Daphnia pulex: one gene and its partner. Each later gene encodes a partner of the first gene's protein in a complex. Links are inferred from orthologs where the notes say so. Each region holds a gene or a part of one and is shown on either strand. Other genes may lie near its edges.

Region 1 (7,510 bases):
ATAGCACTTGTACTATGGACATTGAGTAACATAATCGCATTGCCTTTTAACAAGGCAAACGTAATGATTCGGATCAACGAATCGAGCCTATCACTGTCTGAAGCGATAAGCGCGATGACTCCTACAGGATCAGCAAGGTCGAAGATAACTCCACGTTTAGCTGCACTCGTAGCTACTTTTCCCGTATCGCGACTGATTGCGGTAATTAATTCCAACAGTAAGTCTGCAAAAAAGCACATCTTTCAACAGAATGTATCTCTAATTTGGATTACGAATGTCTTACCAGTTTTGGTGATTAATGGCTCTTGTGTCAGCAACTGCTTGAGAAATTTGGTCACTAGAACGTTCCTATTTCCTTGGCCAGCCCACGAACGTTGCGTCAAGCGTAGACTATCGAGAATGGGAAGCAGAGTTGCGTTGGGCTTTCCATCCCCAAAGGATGAAACATTGTTGAGTTTACTGTCTTTAACGGGCAGCAAGTGATCAAATCCTGGCTCGTAAGAAGCGAATCCATTGACCCAAATGCGAGGTACCTGTTACAAACCGTCCAAAGTTATCATGTGGTTTGTTTGATTTGAATGACGACATCGTAATACCTTGAATTGGTTGATGATGTGCATGGCGATAGACTGCTGCTCACACCACAATGAGATTTCACTCATGCCGGTGAGATTTGTAAGAACGTTGAGTAACTCTGCGGCAGAGCGATAAGAGAAAACAAGCATAGTTTGCCCCAGAATTCCCCACTGGGTAATAGGCATTGAAGGTTGTGCGTTGAAAATAACACGGGCGTTCCCTACGTTCAAAATCTGAGACATTCTATTAGAACAAACAATTGAAATGGGATATTAAAAACAAAAATAATTACATCTAATTTAGTTCCTTGGAGGTAGTCGGTCACTTTTGAGGGAGCTTGATAGCAAGAATCTTCTGTAAAATCAATAGTCTTATCTAATAATTCGCCCGAGCGACTAGCGTTGAAGCGTTCTCGCAAACGCCAATCAATCTCTTCCAACATAGAGTCCTGAACGATCAGGTAAAGACCACAGCTGTTGAAGCTACTCGTCTTCAAAGCGGTAAGTGCGGCATCTACAGCGGCATCGCAATCACCTGTTTCCAACACCACGACTGCTTTTTTCCCGTCGAGATCTTGTTTGGCATTAAAAAAAAACAGGATTAGTTAAAATTATTTAAAATCTCACGGCACAAAGTTACCCAATTTGAGATTCGAAGCTCCATCGCGCAATGCGAGCGCTTGATCATAGCTACCGCAAACAATAATATCGATGCCCTCTGAAGAAGTGATTCCTTTCAACCTTTCAGAACTTCCGGCATACACGCTGCAGTCCAATCCCACTTTGTTTAAAAATTCCCCCATTAAAAGGCATGGAATTGCTAGAAGATCATTTTCAGGGACCAATACAATTGGCCTAAAGTCAAAAGGTAATTCAGTATTTTCGTTTATCAATAAGATAAAGGGCTAACTTATGCTTACATTCCTCTCGAAACGAGTGGTGCGATTGCACGCGACACAGACAGCACTGGATTAGATGAACCCACAATTACAACAGCAATATTGTTCCCAATCTTTGAAAAAAAAACCAATAAACTTTAGTAGAAAAAATTTAGTAATGCAACTGATAATGAATTTAATACTTGAGTAACAGGACATGACTCTAGCTGATCAGCATAATAGGTCCAATAACTTGCAGCTGGAACAATTTCATGTTGGATGCAGTAGCGTAGAGGTTTGCCAAAAGTGGTTGAAAGAGCCAAACCAAGAAGTTTTTGATATTCAGGTTGACTTAATAACATCCCAAGTCTTTAGAAATAATTGGTGATTACAAATACAGAAATAACACATTTAGACAAACATATGATACTCAGTCATTTTGGCAGATGTTTCTAGCCATTGGATGTGTGACCATTTTCTTTGTCTGTCTTGCTTGAGAGCTCTCACAAATTCTTCAAAGTCACCATCAACACGTTTCATAATGGAAACATTCTTGGCCAACTCTTGATGAACAGAGCTAATCATGAGGAACTTGCCCCAATTGGTCCCTTCTCCTTGGCTAGCAGGGACACTTAAAGGTGAAGTGGCAACCCAATTCTGTCATTTAAATAAATTGATGATATGAAACTATGAAGAAATTACATCGATTGTTTTACTTTAAAATCGCGGTCGACCTCCATGCTGCTTTTTCCGTAATTAAGCGTAGCTCCTTTTACAGCTTCAAGAATGTTGACCATCTCAGGATGAGTGTTTAGCTCTAATATTTCTTCCTGTAAAAGTTCAGCAAACGAATGTTATATGGAATGTTTGAGATAATTTATGGATACACTTAAAGATAATTCGATCGTACGCTTTATTACGGAAATTACGTTGTCACTTGCCAGCTGTTTGTCTCTGTCAAAACAAGTTGAAATATCGTGCGTGAATACAGCTGTCACATCTTACCTGAGTCATTATGGCAAAACAACTTTAACCACAACTTTCGTTTTCATTTTGGCTTCGAGTTAAAAAAAAATCCTAATAATAAAATTTATAAAATGTTGCTCGTTTTCGATGTTTGGAACTATTATTTTAAATTTATAAATGTATTAAATCGTAAAGAAATTTGACAACGCTGTAGGCTAATAGTATCATCGCACTAGCAGACTGATAAAAAATCAGCGCGAGCAGTGAGAGCTACATTGATGAGACAACGTGGTCTTGGCCGTTTTTTTTCAGTTTTAGTGATTGCAAAGATCACAAGCACAGAGCTCATCACTATAGTAAAATCAGAAATCGTTAAGAGTTCGAGAACCAAGTAGTTTTATTTTTTATTATTGTATTAAGTAAAAGAAACGATAGCCATGGCGAGTACGAATTGCTCCCAGTTGACTCCCATACCACAGTCCATATTGAAACCCAGTTCGCGAATCAGTATGCAACCCAAGAAACTTTCCCAGCCTTTGCAGGTCCGATTTGACTCCTTGGTCACAATTGACGTGGTTTCAATTTTGAAGGATTATATCGAAGGGCGAAGCGAAGTGAAATATCACCAATTATTGAATCTGAAAAATGATCCTAATGTCAATGTAAGTAATTTGGGGAAAAAACTGGACGTAGGATTACAAGATTACGAACTAAGAATTTTTTTATTTTTAGGATGGATTTTTACTCCTGATTCTTCAACAAGTAAACAGCTCTATCAGTCTGCTGACTCCAAAAGTTGATTCCTTTGTTGATGCATTGCTGCATATTTCATGGACAACAAGACAGCCCCCAGTACTTGATGAATATTTGACATTTCTCCAAACACTAGTTTCAGCACACACATTCTACTGTAGATCAGTAGTCAAAATGCTAGTCTCACATCTGACACTTAATTCAGACTGTGAAAAATCTACATCGAATGTGCATCTAGTTTTGAGGGGAATTTTGCAGCTGATACCATTGTAAGAGCCCTGTAATTATTTGTTTCCAGGATCAAGAAAATAATGTTTTTGTATTGACAGGTCTCAAAGTATTATTTGGGATTCTTTAAATAATGGTTTTCCCTACATTGGATCAAGCAGTTGCAATCAAGTAAACTACATCAGAAATCTTCTACATTTTGTTGAATACCATGAAATGTCTGGACCCCGTGTTTTACATCTCATCATTGGAAGGTATGTCAGTCTTTAATTCATTTATTTTAATTAACTAATTGAATAATTTTTGTATAGAATCATTAAATTGGACAGCAGAGTTTCAAGAGAGGACTTGCTACAAAAATTCAATCAGCCTATGGAGTTTGATGAGGATACAGTCTTGAATCAAGCTTCTGAAACGTTAGACGAAATCATGAAAGTTATGTTTGAGTTGTGTCATCGCAAATGTCATAGCGAATGGATTGTTCATCGGAATTTTTATCAGGACATGTACGCTACGTTCGAATCTTTGATACTACCGGCCGCCGGTATCCATCATGTCCATTACTTGATGTTCTACATATGTAGTACCAAAACTGCTCTCTATGAAGCTTTTACTGAGCGCTTGTGGGTCATTTTTCTTACCCCTTCATCTCAGTTGAATATTCGAAAATCGTGTGCCGATTACCTTGCTTCGTTTTTGGGGAGAGCCTCTTTTGTACCCATGAAGTACGTTCACATTTGTGATAATAAGACCAATCAAACCAAACATTAACTCGTGATTTCTCTAAAGGTACGTCATTGACTGTCTGGATCGAGTGTGTCAGTGGATTCACGCATACCTCGATCGGCAATCAAAGGGTGAGGGAGCAGCTGTTTTTAAAATCCGAGCCCATGCAGCATTCTATGCCGCTTGTCATATTCCCTTCTACGTTTTGGCTGCTAGGCATCGAGATATTGTCAACGACAGAAAGCGTACGATGATCGTTCTTTCTTATTGTTGGAATTCAATTAACCTTTTGATCATTTTTGCAGTTCTCGCCCGATTGCAAGCCCTGGATTTGAACCGAATTGTCAACTCACCTTTGAACCCACTACGCTATTGTCACGCTACAACTGTCAGACAATTCGCAGAATCCGCTTCACATCTGCAGGTTGTACCACTATCAATCAAGTTGATTTGTAACGTAATTAACCGAAATTCTCGTTTAGATTGTATTCTGTCACACCATCATGATTCGTAATCAGAGGGTTTGTATACCTGAAGCTACAACTGACACATTTGTCATGGATACAGAATATCCATTCGAGAAATACCTCTTGCCCTCATCGATGGACTTTGTGTCACCTCTTGTTATTGACAAACCTATCGGTCGTGACGATTCACTCTACGACAGCGATCAGGTTATGGAGGAGCTTTTGTCTGAATCACCAAGAGTTGGCGGCTTTATGCACCACTTCATGGGTTGATTTCATCGATATTGTCGTTGGTAAAATCTAAAATTTACCCCATTTTCCCTGTTTCTTTATTTTCTGCAATTCTCTACATCTTTATTACCATATGACCGTCTTTTCCCATTCGTGTCGGTTAAATTATGTATATTAACGTGGTATATATTCACTCGATCGTGCCTATTTGTTGGAAGACCGTTGAAATTAACATTTTTTCCTTTTGGGTCTTGGTCTACGGATTAATCATCCGTTACGCTATTCACAACTTCGGGAGCTGATCACTGCTGCGGTTTTTCTTCGTAAGAACATTATTTTTCCTTTTTCTATACTCGATCGTATTGGGCGGCTTGGGACGTACGTTGAAATTCTCCTTTGATTCGTGGGCTTGTTAAATTTCTTTTTGTCTACTCTCCCGATTACCGCAATGTTATTTGCTCTCCCCTTCGATTTCGCCGTTTCCTATTCAACTTACAAAGATGTTGTCGCCAGCGTGTAATGAAAATTAAAGTTTTCGTGTAATTCATTTGAAAAAAAAAATTGCCACTTAAAAACCAGTTCCCTTTAGTGAGAATAAAATTCAAGTGAAGCGTGTCGGTTGCATTTGGGAATATAAAAATCGTATAATTCTGTTTTCATCAAACACCTATTTATACATCAGTTGAAAGAAAGAATAAACTTTGGTAGGTGAAGAGGCGGGTAAAGGCACTGCAATTCAATGCGCACATTATGGGTTTTGGCGCATATTTTTTTTAAACACCAACAGGGGACTACCAAACAAACATGCAGGCATGCTGAAAAAGACGAATGGTGACATGTACACTAGCGCCAAGCGGTCGTGACACCCATCATTCTTCTGATTTTACATCACGGTGCTGCAGGTAATAAACTTCAATACTACATTCATTCACTTTATTCGTAATTATAATGTTTGGAAACTCGTGATCCGATTTTGGTCCACCAGGTCGAATAACCTCCGGAACTCTCCTTAGGATCGGCTGCTATTCCGGGAGGCTTTAGGTACTTGACGGGCCTTTGAGTTAAGCCGGGCAAGGTGGACTGCTTGAAAATTGCGGGCTTCTTCTTTTTGCCTTCGTATGCAAATGGATTGGCAGGGTAGTCCTTGGTTCCCTTTTCGGTGATGAAAGCCACTTCTGAGGTGAATGGAGGTTCATTCACTTCTTCCTCCTGTTCCGTCTCCGTAAGAAAATCGATATTGGCGACTCCACCTTCGACAGCCACAACAGGTTCATCTTCTACCTCGATGGGTGTTTCAGCATTGATGACCACAACAGGCTCTTCGGCAATACCAAAAGTTACCTGGGGTTCTTCTTCTTCCGTCTCAGGAGCCGTGTTAACTTGTAAGACGCTCACTTCTTCGACAGCCACGATAACAGGTTTCTCCTCATTGTCAGCCGATACTTTGACAATGATAATTTCTCCTACAGGTTCTTCAACATCTGACATGGGCGTCTCTGGTACTACGACAGTCATGGGAAGCATGGAAGATCTAGTCAAGTCCTCTTCGATCTTGGCCACCATCATTTCATCCATGGTGATTGGCAAATCGGTTGTAACTGATACATCGTCTTCGTCGTCGGATGGGGTTTCCTGGACAATTTCAGCCGGAACTGGAAGATCTTCTTTCAAGATTTCCTCAACTTGGGCTGGAACGATTTCATCCTGTGAAACATCAATTGATGATGAAATGATTTCGTCAAGCACTTCGTCAACTTGAGGTGCAACGATTTCGTCGTCTGAAATGTCAGCTTGTGGTGGAACATTGTCGTTCTGTACTAGGTCGTCAACTTGTAGTGCAACGATTTCATCTCGGTCAACGTCGTCTTGAGTTGAAGCGGTCTCATCCTGTACCTTTTTCAAATCAATTTCTGGGATAAGGACTTCTTCTTCGACAACTGGAACAGCAAAGGGGACAGTTTCGGTGACGGCTTCTTCAGTTACCACTTCAGCTCTCGCAGTCTCAACTGCTTTGGCGTATGCGACCTGTTTGTGGACCTCCTCCGGAGTAAGTACTTGTTCCTCCTATGACAAATAGAAATTTTATTATTTGGTTGGCTAATTGAATTGAATTGTTTTATTTGTGTACCGGTGGGCTCTCTCCACGCAGTTTGCGTCGGTGACGCTGGCTATCAGCCAAATTCTTCAAGCGCCGGATGGTGTAGACTGGTTGGACGTTCTCCAAGTCTTGTGTGCTTCTCTTGCGTCGGACTGGAATCGGAAGTGGCTGACCGTAAGGTAAGTAATAGACAACATATTCCTCTCCATTAGCTCCATGAACTTGCGATCCGACCGATTTCCCTCCGCTGCTGCTTCCGCTACTGCTTCCGCCACTTTCACCGCCGACCTTTTTAGGCAAAAAGGCGCTGGAGTCGGTGACCTGGTAGCGACCAATGATGACTGGGTAGTGCTTCTTTTTGGGTGCTTCGTAAGAGGGTGACGATCCAGCATCAGCTCCGTAGGTGTCATCCGGTTTCTTGGCATCGTCGTACGATGAAGACGATGGATACGATTCTTTTTCAGCCGAATAGGACTCTTCTGGCTTTTTCACTTGATCGTAAGCCACTGGTGGTTTACCATAATCATCAATGGGTGAATCGTAATTCTTGGACACTGCCTGGTAACTAGTACTGGACAATTCGACATC
Region 2 (7,318 bases), on another chromosome or scaffold:
CCTCCTTCCATTCAAACCACTCGTATTATTCTTTGTGCGAGAAGGCATTCAATTACAAAGGAAATGTGTGCAGTCAAAGAAGCCGCTGTTTCTCACTTGACAGGCTTGATGGACTCTATGATTCGTTCTGTTATTCTTAGACTCCCGGTCGCCGAGACTCGACACCATTCCCCAAATCATTTCCGCACATTCAACCCACCAGCCTCTATATCCAGCCGTAGTCTCCTAACTCGTGCATTGTTGACCAGAATCGACTTCTGGCAAAATATAAGAAAAGAAACAAAAGAACTTGACGAGAGAAAGTGTGTTACATATTCTTGGCTGAACTTGGCGTGACGTACTCGATCTGATTGCCAAGAAACGGTTACCAAAAGGATCGAATCCAAGAAGGAAGTCTCTGGCGTTCCGACGTACCCAACTCGCATTCTCTTCCAAGTCCTAGCCCAAGACCCTAGTATCACCGTACGTGCTGAAGAAGACATTGACTCGAATAAACAAACTCCCCAAAAGCAAAACATAAGGTAAACAAGATCAACGACCAAGTTCTACGTACGGCAAGGGATCCAAATAAGACAGCGACGGGACTTTTTGGCCGATATGAGTTGGCACAAACAACACGAGACTTTTAAACTGGACGCGAAAAAAAAAATCAGAAAAATCAACTCACACAAAAAAGTTCGGGATAAGATCACGTGGTGTTGGTCCATCCAAAATTAGACCCCGGAGGTGCTGGGAGCGCAGGATTACTAGGATCTATTAGGAAGGAAGTTGGCGTAAACACCGCCCACGCTCATCCTTCCCTCGTTTTGCGATCGCGATTTACAGTACATCGCGGGATATGTGCTTGTGACATTTAGCAATCAACCCATCACTCTTCTCTCCCTCGTGCCAACGTGAATCTTACTGATAGCTTGCCCACCCATTTCGCAAAATGTCAGCTGTGAATGCTATGAAAACACGAAAAACACAAAAATAAAAGGAGGAATGAAGCTGTGTTCCTTTTTTTCTTTTTTGGCTGTGATTTGCGATGCCAGAGACTCAACCGAGATCCACTTCCTTCTTCTTCTTTTGTCTTCGCGTCAGGAGCACTCACGTATACACACACACACACAATCACATTAAAACGCATCTTCTATTGTTCCCATTACGAGATATCCTCCTATCTTTTGCATTTTCTAATAACTTGGCTCCTAAAACTTGACGCTGCACGAAAGACGGCCTAATATCTTCACTCGTTTTTAGTTGGCGACGTTCTAGTTTTGTCATCACAGCAAAAAACAAAAATTTTTTTTTGTTGTTTTTGGTTTGGCTGTGAAGCAAAAAATGAACGAAGAAAAGAAAACAGTTGAGGGGATTTCAACCGCCCCAATAATGGGAGACTTACCGGCATATAGTTGCTACGCAGGGATGACGTGTAGGCCGACGATGATGAACCGCCATAGGAGCTACCGTAGGAGCCACCATATCCTCGTTGACTGGAGTAGTAGCCTGCCATTGCGTAATCGTCTTCTCCGGATCCGAAGAATGAAAATAGGAAACGATAGGGGTTCAAAACCGAAATAAAAATGAATAGACAATCATAGGCATAAATTTATATGAGGCATTCTCTTACCCAATTTCTGTTGTCCAGCCAAGTCCAAATGAGAAAAAAGATCTCCCTAATTAACAACTTCACGATCGGCCCAGATGGGGGAAAGGGGTCTTTTGATTGAGGGAGACGGTTTTTCTTTCGTCCGGCCACCAAGCAGAGTGCGTCGTCGACTGTACTTGTAGTGAACGTGGAGATGGAAAGCGACCCGAGTGCTCTACGTCCGAAACAAAACTCTTCCACAAGCTCGCAAGCTTCCACAAGCTTCCACGAGCACTAAATTTAGATGCCACGGTCAATGAGAAATAGACTTAAGAGAAAGAGAGAAAAGAAAATAGGAAGAAGAAGAAGGGAAAGAGAAAGGGAGAGGAGATAAAAAACAAAACAGAATACACTTCTTGTTCTTCTTCCCATTTCCTTCATCTCATCTGCCTAGACTTTCTTGGCACCACCTACGCATATTCCACAATGGGCTAAAACGAATTGGCGGTGTAAACAAAATGTGAGAAGGAAGGAAGAAGAACATTAGAAGGAGGAACATCTCGGTTCACATCCAAAACAATCAAAACCTTAGGATCCAAGGTCAATAAGAGGCTACTACAGCTTATCTAGCAAGTCTAGCGCCAACGTTTCGTAAAACCAGTAGCGAAACAAACAGAAGCCATTGTTGCAGAAGGCAAATAAAAATAGCGATGGAAAGGAACATATGAAAAAGGATAGGTATCCTTCCGTAAAACCAGGAAGAATTAGTTGCTCGCCTCCACCCCTCAAATTTTTTAAATAAGTCTTCCCTTCCTTCCGTTTGAAAAGCTCCGGTTTCGGTTTCTAAATGCAGTTCTGGGTCACTCGGCTGGAATCCTGGGTGATAACTATATCAACGGCACAAACGCCTCCAGGTGAACTAATAATGCGTAATCGTCATGAATCAACGCGTCTATTTAGGATACCATTCCTACAGTCCATTCTTCAATTCATCCAAAAATACACGGCATTTTTGTGACAGGATCTTGGCGGCTTCAGTGAAGAGGACCTCCGGCGCCAGTGCTCCAGTAGACTCGATGTAAACTAAACACATTTTCAAATGCATCGCTAAAGTAAGGAATAAGCAAAAATCCAATAACAATACTTACAGATGAAATGGTCGCGTGCTCGGGTCAGCTTTACAGTGTCCTCTTTTAGATCTTCGTGACGGAATACGTTGCGGCTGCAGATGTCATATCGGGCATCGTTGACTTTGGCAACCTTCTTTTCACCTGAAATAGAATAAAAAGGTAGTGCTTCACACTAATTAAGCTAGAAGAAAAAATATAGTATGTAGCAAACCTGAGTCGACCAAATCAATAACCCCAGGGGAAAAGCACTTTTGTAATCTTTGGGCAGCTTCACCTTCCACTTCCTTAAGAAGTTTCACTTGTGGTAGGAGACGGTAAAATGCGGTAGCTTGAGAAAATAGAAAAATAGTTTTTGTTTAAATCTCGGTCCAAAAATTCTTAATCATAAAAAAAAACAATAAAACTAACCAACGGGTGAGAATTTTGCATGTTCTCGTCCGGTCCCTTTCATTGCGTGCAATTTGATGTCAAGTTCGTGACCAGGTCTCATTTTTGCGATTAGAATGTTATCGTCAACTGGTCCAACTGCATCAGGGGTAAAGATATCTTTTTGGCCACCCAGTGGAATCCATTTCAAATGAGATGTCAAAACTGAAAAAAGTAGGTCAGCATTCTGTCGAAAAAAAAAGGTTTGAGTTTCCCTTCTTACCTCTGAAATCCCTGTACAAGTGTTCAGGATTTGTATGATCTTTAGTCCTTTGAGGATTCCACGAACATTTCACTTTTAACTCAAATTCAAGTGTATCTTCAGGAGTCCCAGTATCATCATCTAAAATGAGAGATGGGGTAACAAAGATTCAGTTATATGAAGTAAGGTGACAAAGAAAAGAATGGGTGTTTGGAGTATACCTTCAGCTCTGAATTCAAACAATCTTGGGTCAGCTTTCAATGGTATCAGTCCCAGTCTGTGGGCCAAGACTTCATCTTGGATGATTGAGGTATTGTTGAACATGAAGACTTTGTCGAAGGCCATGGTGGGAATATCAGACAGCAAAATACGACGAAAAGCATTTGGTATGGCTGGATCAACACCAATCAAATCAAACTCCATTTCCATATTTTCCATGCGGACAATGTTAATTTTGAGCCTCTACAAAATCAGAAAAAATGGTAATGCTCTCTTTTTATCTACTTATAGTGTAGAACTTTTCTTAGAAGAACCTTTTTGAACTTTTCAAAACTCCAACTGTCGTCAAACCCATGATGATTTCCTGGGAAGTCTGTGGCTTCAGCCTAAATAGTTATTTTTATTATTAAATTTGGTTGAACTTAGGAAGATTTCTGTTATGTAGTATTACATTAAGAACTTCGAATTCTGTCAGCACGAGTTCATTCCTACTTTCATCAATGTATTCCTTGCTTGATGAATATTTAACTTTACTTTTACTCATTTTTCCGTTGAGCTTTAACACGTGTCTGGACGAGGGAAAAATTGGCAAATAATGACTATTGTGAAAAGTGTCGTCTGCTTTTATTTATTTTTAAAATTTACTGCAAGATGTCGCCACCGTCTCGCCACCGTCTCTCAGTTTAATTCAGTTCAAATCGAAACCGCTTTTCTAGAAAACAAACGGACATATATTATAGGGTAAAGGTAAATAATAAGAAATTAAATATTATTTTGATAGCCAATAAACACCCTCCTCTCAAAAAAAGAAAATCCTATTTCCAATAGTATTTCAAGGAATTTGTTGAGTTTTTATATTTCTATTTTTTCTGAGGCAAATAACACATACACGTTAGACACAGTAACTGTACACGATATAAACAGTTAGCTTGGATGTTAGCGCGATACTTACGGTATAAGCTGAAGTATATTCGGCGTATCAAACAGTCCGAACTAAACTAATACGTCAGCATTTTACAGACATGTAATGTATGGGTAAATTATTTCTTTCGGAGGAGAGAGAATAAATGGGGCATTTATCCTGAGACTGAACCATCTATGAAAAAAAAAATGTATTCGTCTTTGTCATTTATTTAATTTTTTGTCTTATTCTTTGAAAGAATGTATTTGGACATGACAGCAATTCGTGAATTGATTTTGCTGTTATCGTCGCTTGAAGCTGAAGCCCTTGGTGTTCTACGTCTCGAATACGACTCCGGTTCTGCTGTTGCCTGCGGGATCGGTCCTCGATCAGATTTTCCTGTAATTAAGAAGTTCATTTGCAGGTAACAAAAAAAATTACAATTGGTAGAGGATGTGGTTTACCTGCTGCGTCTTTTTCCAAATCCGAATCCTTGTTAGTGGAACGGCTAGACAAGTACATTGAGTAGCGCTTATCGTAGACGGGCGGATCGTAAGATGAAGAGTCGACCGGCTTTATCGACGACGGCCTGGCATACGAGCTGCTGTAGCTAGGACTGTAGCTATCAGAGCTGTAACTTGAGCTTCTCTTCTCGTAATCCTTATCATCGTTCAGATAGCTCGAAAAGAAACGAGACAAACTATTGATATTCATTAAATACCATCTGGTTCATTTGCGTGAAAATTTGATTTGTTCGTTACCGAGTAGAGGGTTGGGTGTTGGTCTTCGTGGCGAAGCGATTGAGCACTGACGAAGTCGCCTCACGCAATTTGCGTAAATCTTCTTCGATATCCTGAAAGTGAGCTAATGGTTTGTTAATTGATCAAACAAAAATGTAGTCAACTTATAGAATCAAAACTTAGAACCCAACGGTAATTTCTAATAATTTGAGCTTATTCTATCAGCTATAGAATAAAACTATTTTTAAGATATGCTACGCTATGCAAAATACGTGGGTGGTTCACAAAGCGCTCAAATAAATTTACCTCTAGTTTCATGACGGGTTCTCCGTTAGCATCATCATCCAAACACGAAGCGGCACTGTAGCGCGCCCTGGTCGTGGTACCGGTAGTCTTGACGGGTGCAATGTCGTCATCACTATCCAAGTACGACGCACGAGTGTGGCGCGAACGAACCGGGATTTTGACAGGTTCAAATTCTTCGTCGTCATCATCCAATTTCGAAGCTCGATTACGACGGGGTCTGTCTTTCTGAGTATTGACAGGTTCAATGTCTTCATCATCGTCTTCATCACATTCAAGTCTATCTCGTAGATATCCGTCTCTCTCTCGAGCAAACATCGATTGCGGAAAATGATTCGCAACTCTCGGGACGGCTCCTCGGCAACCCGGTGCCTGAAATACAAACAAGAAGAAGTAATTGAAATTTTTTTTTTAATTTGATCATAAAAACGTTATGAATTTTGCTTAAGGAATTTTTATTAAAATAACTAACTAGGCTTTAGGCGTGTATAATATCAGCAAACTGGTTGGGAAATAAATCGCGCATACAGCCTAAACACATTCTATTTTCCACCAGCCGCGCTAGCACTTGGCCAGTCGCCACTATACCAGCATTTCCTTCTTTCCATATGCACCCCCTATCTCTATTTTTTTATTTTTGGTTCTTTAATTTACCTGTTCCGCATTCTCATCCAAGTTTTACACGCCCAAGTTCCGAAAAGAAGGGATCTGAACAAGATACGATGAGAGGTTTTGACCGATAGGAGCTAACACAAAAATGAGCGTTCAAAATTAGACTGGCTGGATAGGAGGGGGTATGAGAGAAGGAGACGACGCCAACAGGAAATTAAAGTAAACATAGCTGATGTTCCTTTTTTTTGCGACTGAGTTGAATAATAAACATTCCGTATTAAATTTGTCGACACATTTCTCTCTATGCTCATCGGTCATCTCCTTATACTAATCTCTTACCAAATCCATTAGGCCTGTACGCAGAACCGTCACCTGATTTTTCGGCAATCGCTTTACATATTCGCACAACAAATTGTCGCTAATTGTGTGAGTGGTATTCAAAAAACGTACATCGGAATCGAAAAACGGCCTTCTTATCTCAATATGTTAAGGTTGGCAGTTTTGTCATTTTCCAATATTCGTTTAATTAAAAGCAGAGCGTACCTGCATGTAATTGCCCTGCATGGAATTGGTGTAGGGCATCGGCGGAGGAGGACCGTAGATGTTTCCATTGAGACCGCCGTAGTTAGCGACATTTCCTCGTGGAACTGGTAGTTCGTAATAGTAGCCTGAGCCCTCCATCGTAATAATCTTCATCGCGTCCAATAGAGAAGGTAATCGAATGGTTAGGCGATTATAGCAATAGTATCTCTATATGTCACTTACCAGCAGGTTCCCTTTGTGTAGTCGAGTTCGAATAGAAATGAAAACGGCACTCGTTTCAGGTGGAGAAACAAATGGACTGGGAAGGTTTTTCTTTCGTCCGGCTACCGTGGAGAGTTCGTTGCCTACTGGTTTATAGAGAACTTTGGAACGGAAACCAACCCGAGTCGTTCACTGCTGAAACAAAACGTCTCCACAAACTTCACAGTGCAAGCGAGCGCTAAATTTAGATTACAAGGCCGTTGCTTTCAGCAGTGGGTATACTGGATATATGTATAACGTTGAAGGCATGCCGAGCAACACGTATACTACTATACTCACTATACTCAAACGCAATGGAAGGCTGGTGTCGTCTTTGAATTATCCCAGTTGTAATTAAGCACAAGCACGATTTCCTTTTCTTTGATGAAGTATACCCATAAACATTCACATCCTAGATTAATGATTTAGCAT

What was found.
Region 2: RNA polymerase I-specific transcription initiation factor RRN3-like (region 1) and DNA-directed RNA polymerases I and III subunit RPAC1-like share a complex: the UniProt entries of both Homo sapiens proteins name them as parts of the pol I pre-initiation complex. The link is inferred for Daphnia pulex from reciprocal best matches to the Homo sapiens genes RRN3 and POLR1C.

Annotation. Positions count from the first base shown.
Region 1 is NC_060026.1:14,528,021-14,535,530, reverse strand, and holds RNA polymerase I-specific transcription initiation factor RRN3-like, read left to right. Parts: upstream 1-2,634; 5' UTR 2,635-2,856; coding exon 2,857-3,081; intron 3,082-3,151; coding exon 3,152-3,441; intron 3,442-3,501; coding exon 3,502-3,654; intron 3,655-3,711; coding exon 3,712-4,125; intron 4,126-4,189; coding exon 4,190-4,371; intron 4,372-4,431; coding exon 4,432-4,550; intron 4,551-4,608; coding exon 4,609-4,866; 3' UTR 4,867-5,439; downstream 5,440-7,510. Other genes in the region: uncharacterized protein LOC124203933, read right to left, coding at 1-223, 284-533, 597-809, 869-1,149, 1,216-1,430, 1,496-1,587, 1,657-1,822, 1,884-2,110 and 1 more; protein piccolo-like, read right to left, coding at 5,758-6,888, 6,953-7,510. UniProt on the Homo sapiens protein: Required for efficient transcription initiation by RNA polymerase I (Pol I). Required for the formation of the competent pre-initiation complex (PIC).
Region 2 is NC_060020.1:1,788,850-1,796,167, forward strand, and holds DNA-directed RNA polymerases I and III subunit RPAC1-like, read right to left. Parts: upstream 4,156-7,318; 5' UTR 4,092-4,155; coding exon 3,999-4,091; intron 3,934-3,998; coding exon 3,862-3,933; intron 3,791-3,861; coding exon 3,550-3,790; intron 3,470-3,549; coding exon 3,350-3,469; intron 3,292-3,349; coding exon 3,109-3,291; intron 3,029-3,108; coding exon 2,912-3,028; intron 2,842-2,911; coding exon 2,719-2,841; intron 2,654-2,718; coding exon 2,541-2,653; 3' UTR 2,536-2,540; exon of another isoform or gene 2,507-2,535; intron 2,458-2,506; 3' UTR 1,623-2,457; downstream 1-1,622. Other genes in the region: sodium/potassium/calcium exchanger 1-like, read right to left, coding at 1,385-1,495; uncharacterized protein LOC124192222, read right to left, coding at 4,681-4,847, 4,913-5,148, 5,210-5,301, 5,495-5,863, 6,647-6,784. UniProt on the Homo sapiens protein: DNA-dependent RNA polymerase catalyzes the transcription of DNA into RNA using the four ribonucleoside triphosphates as substrates.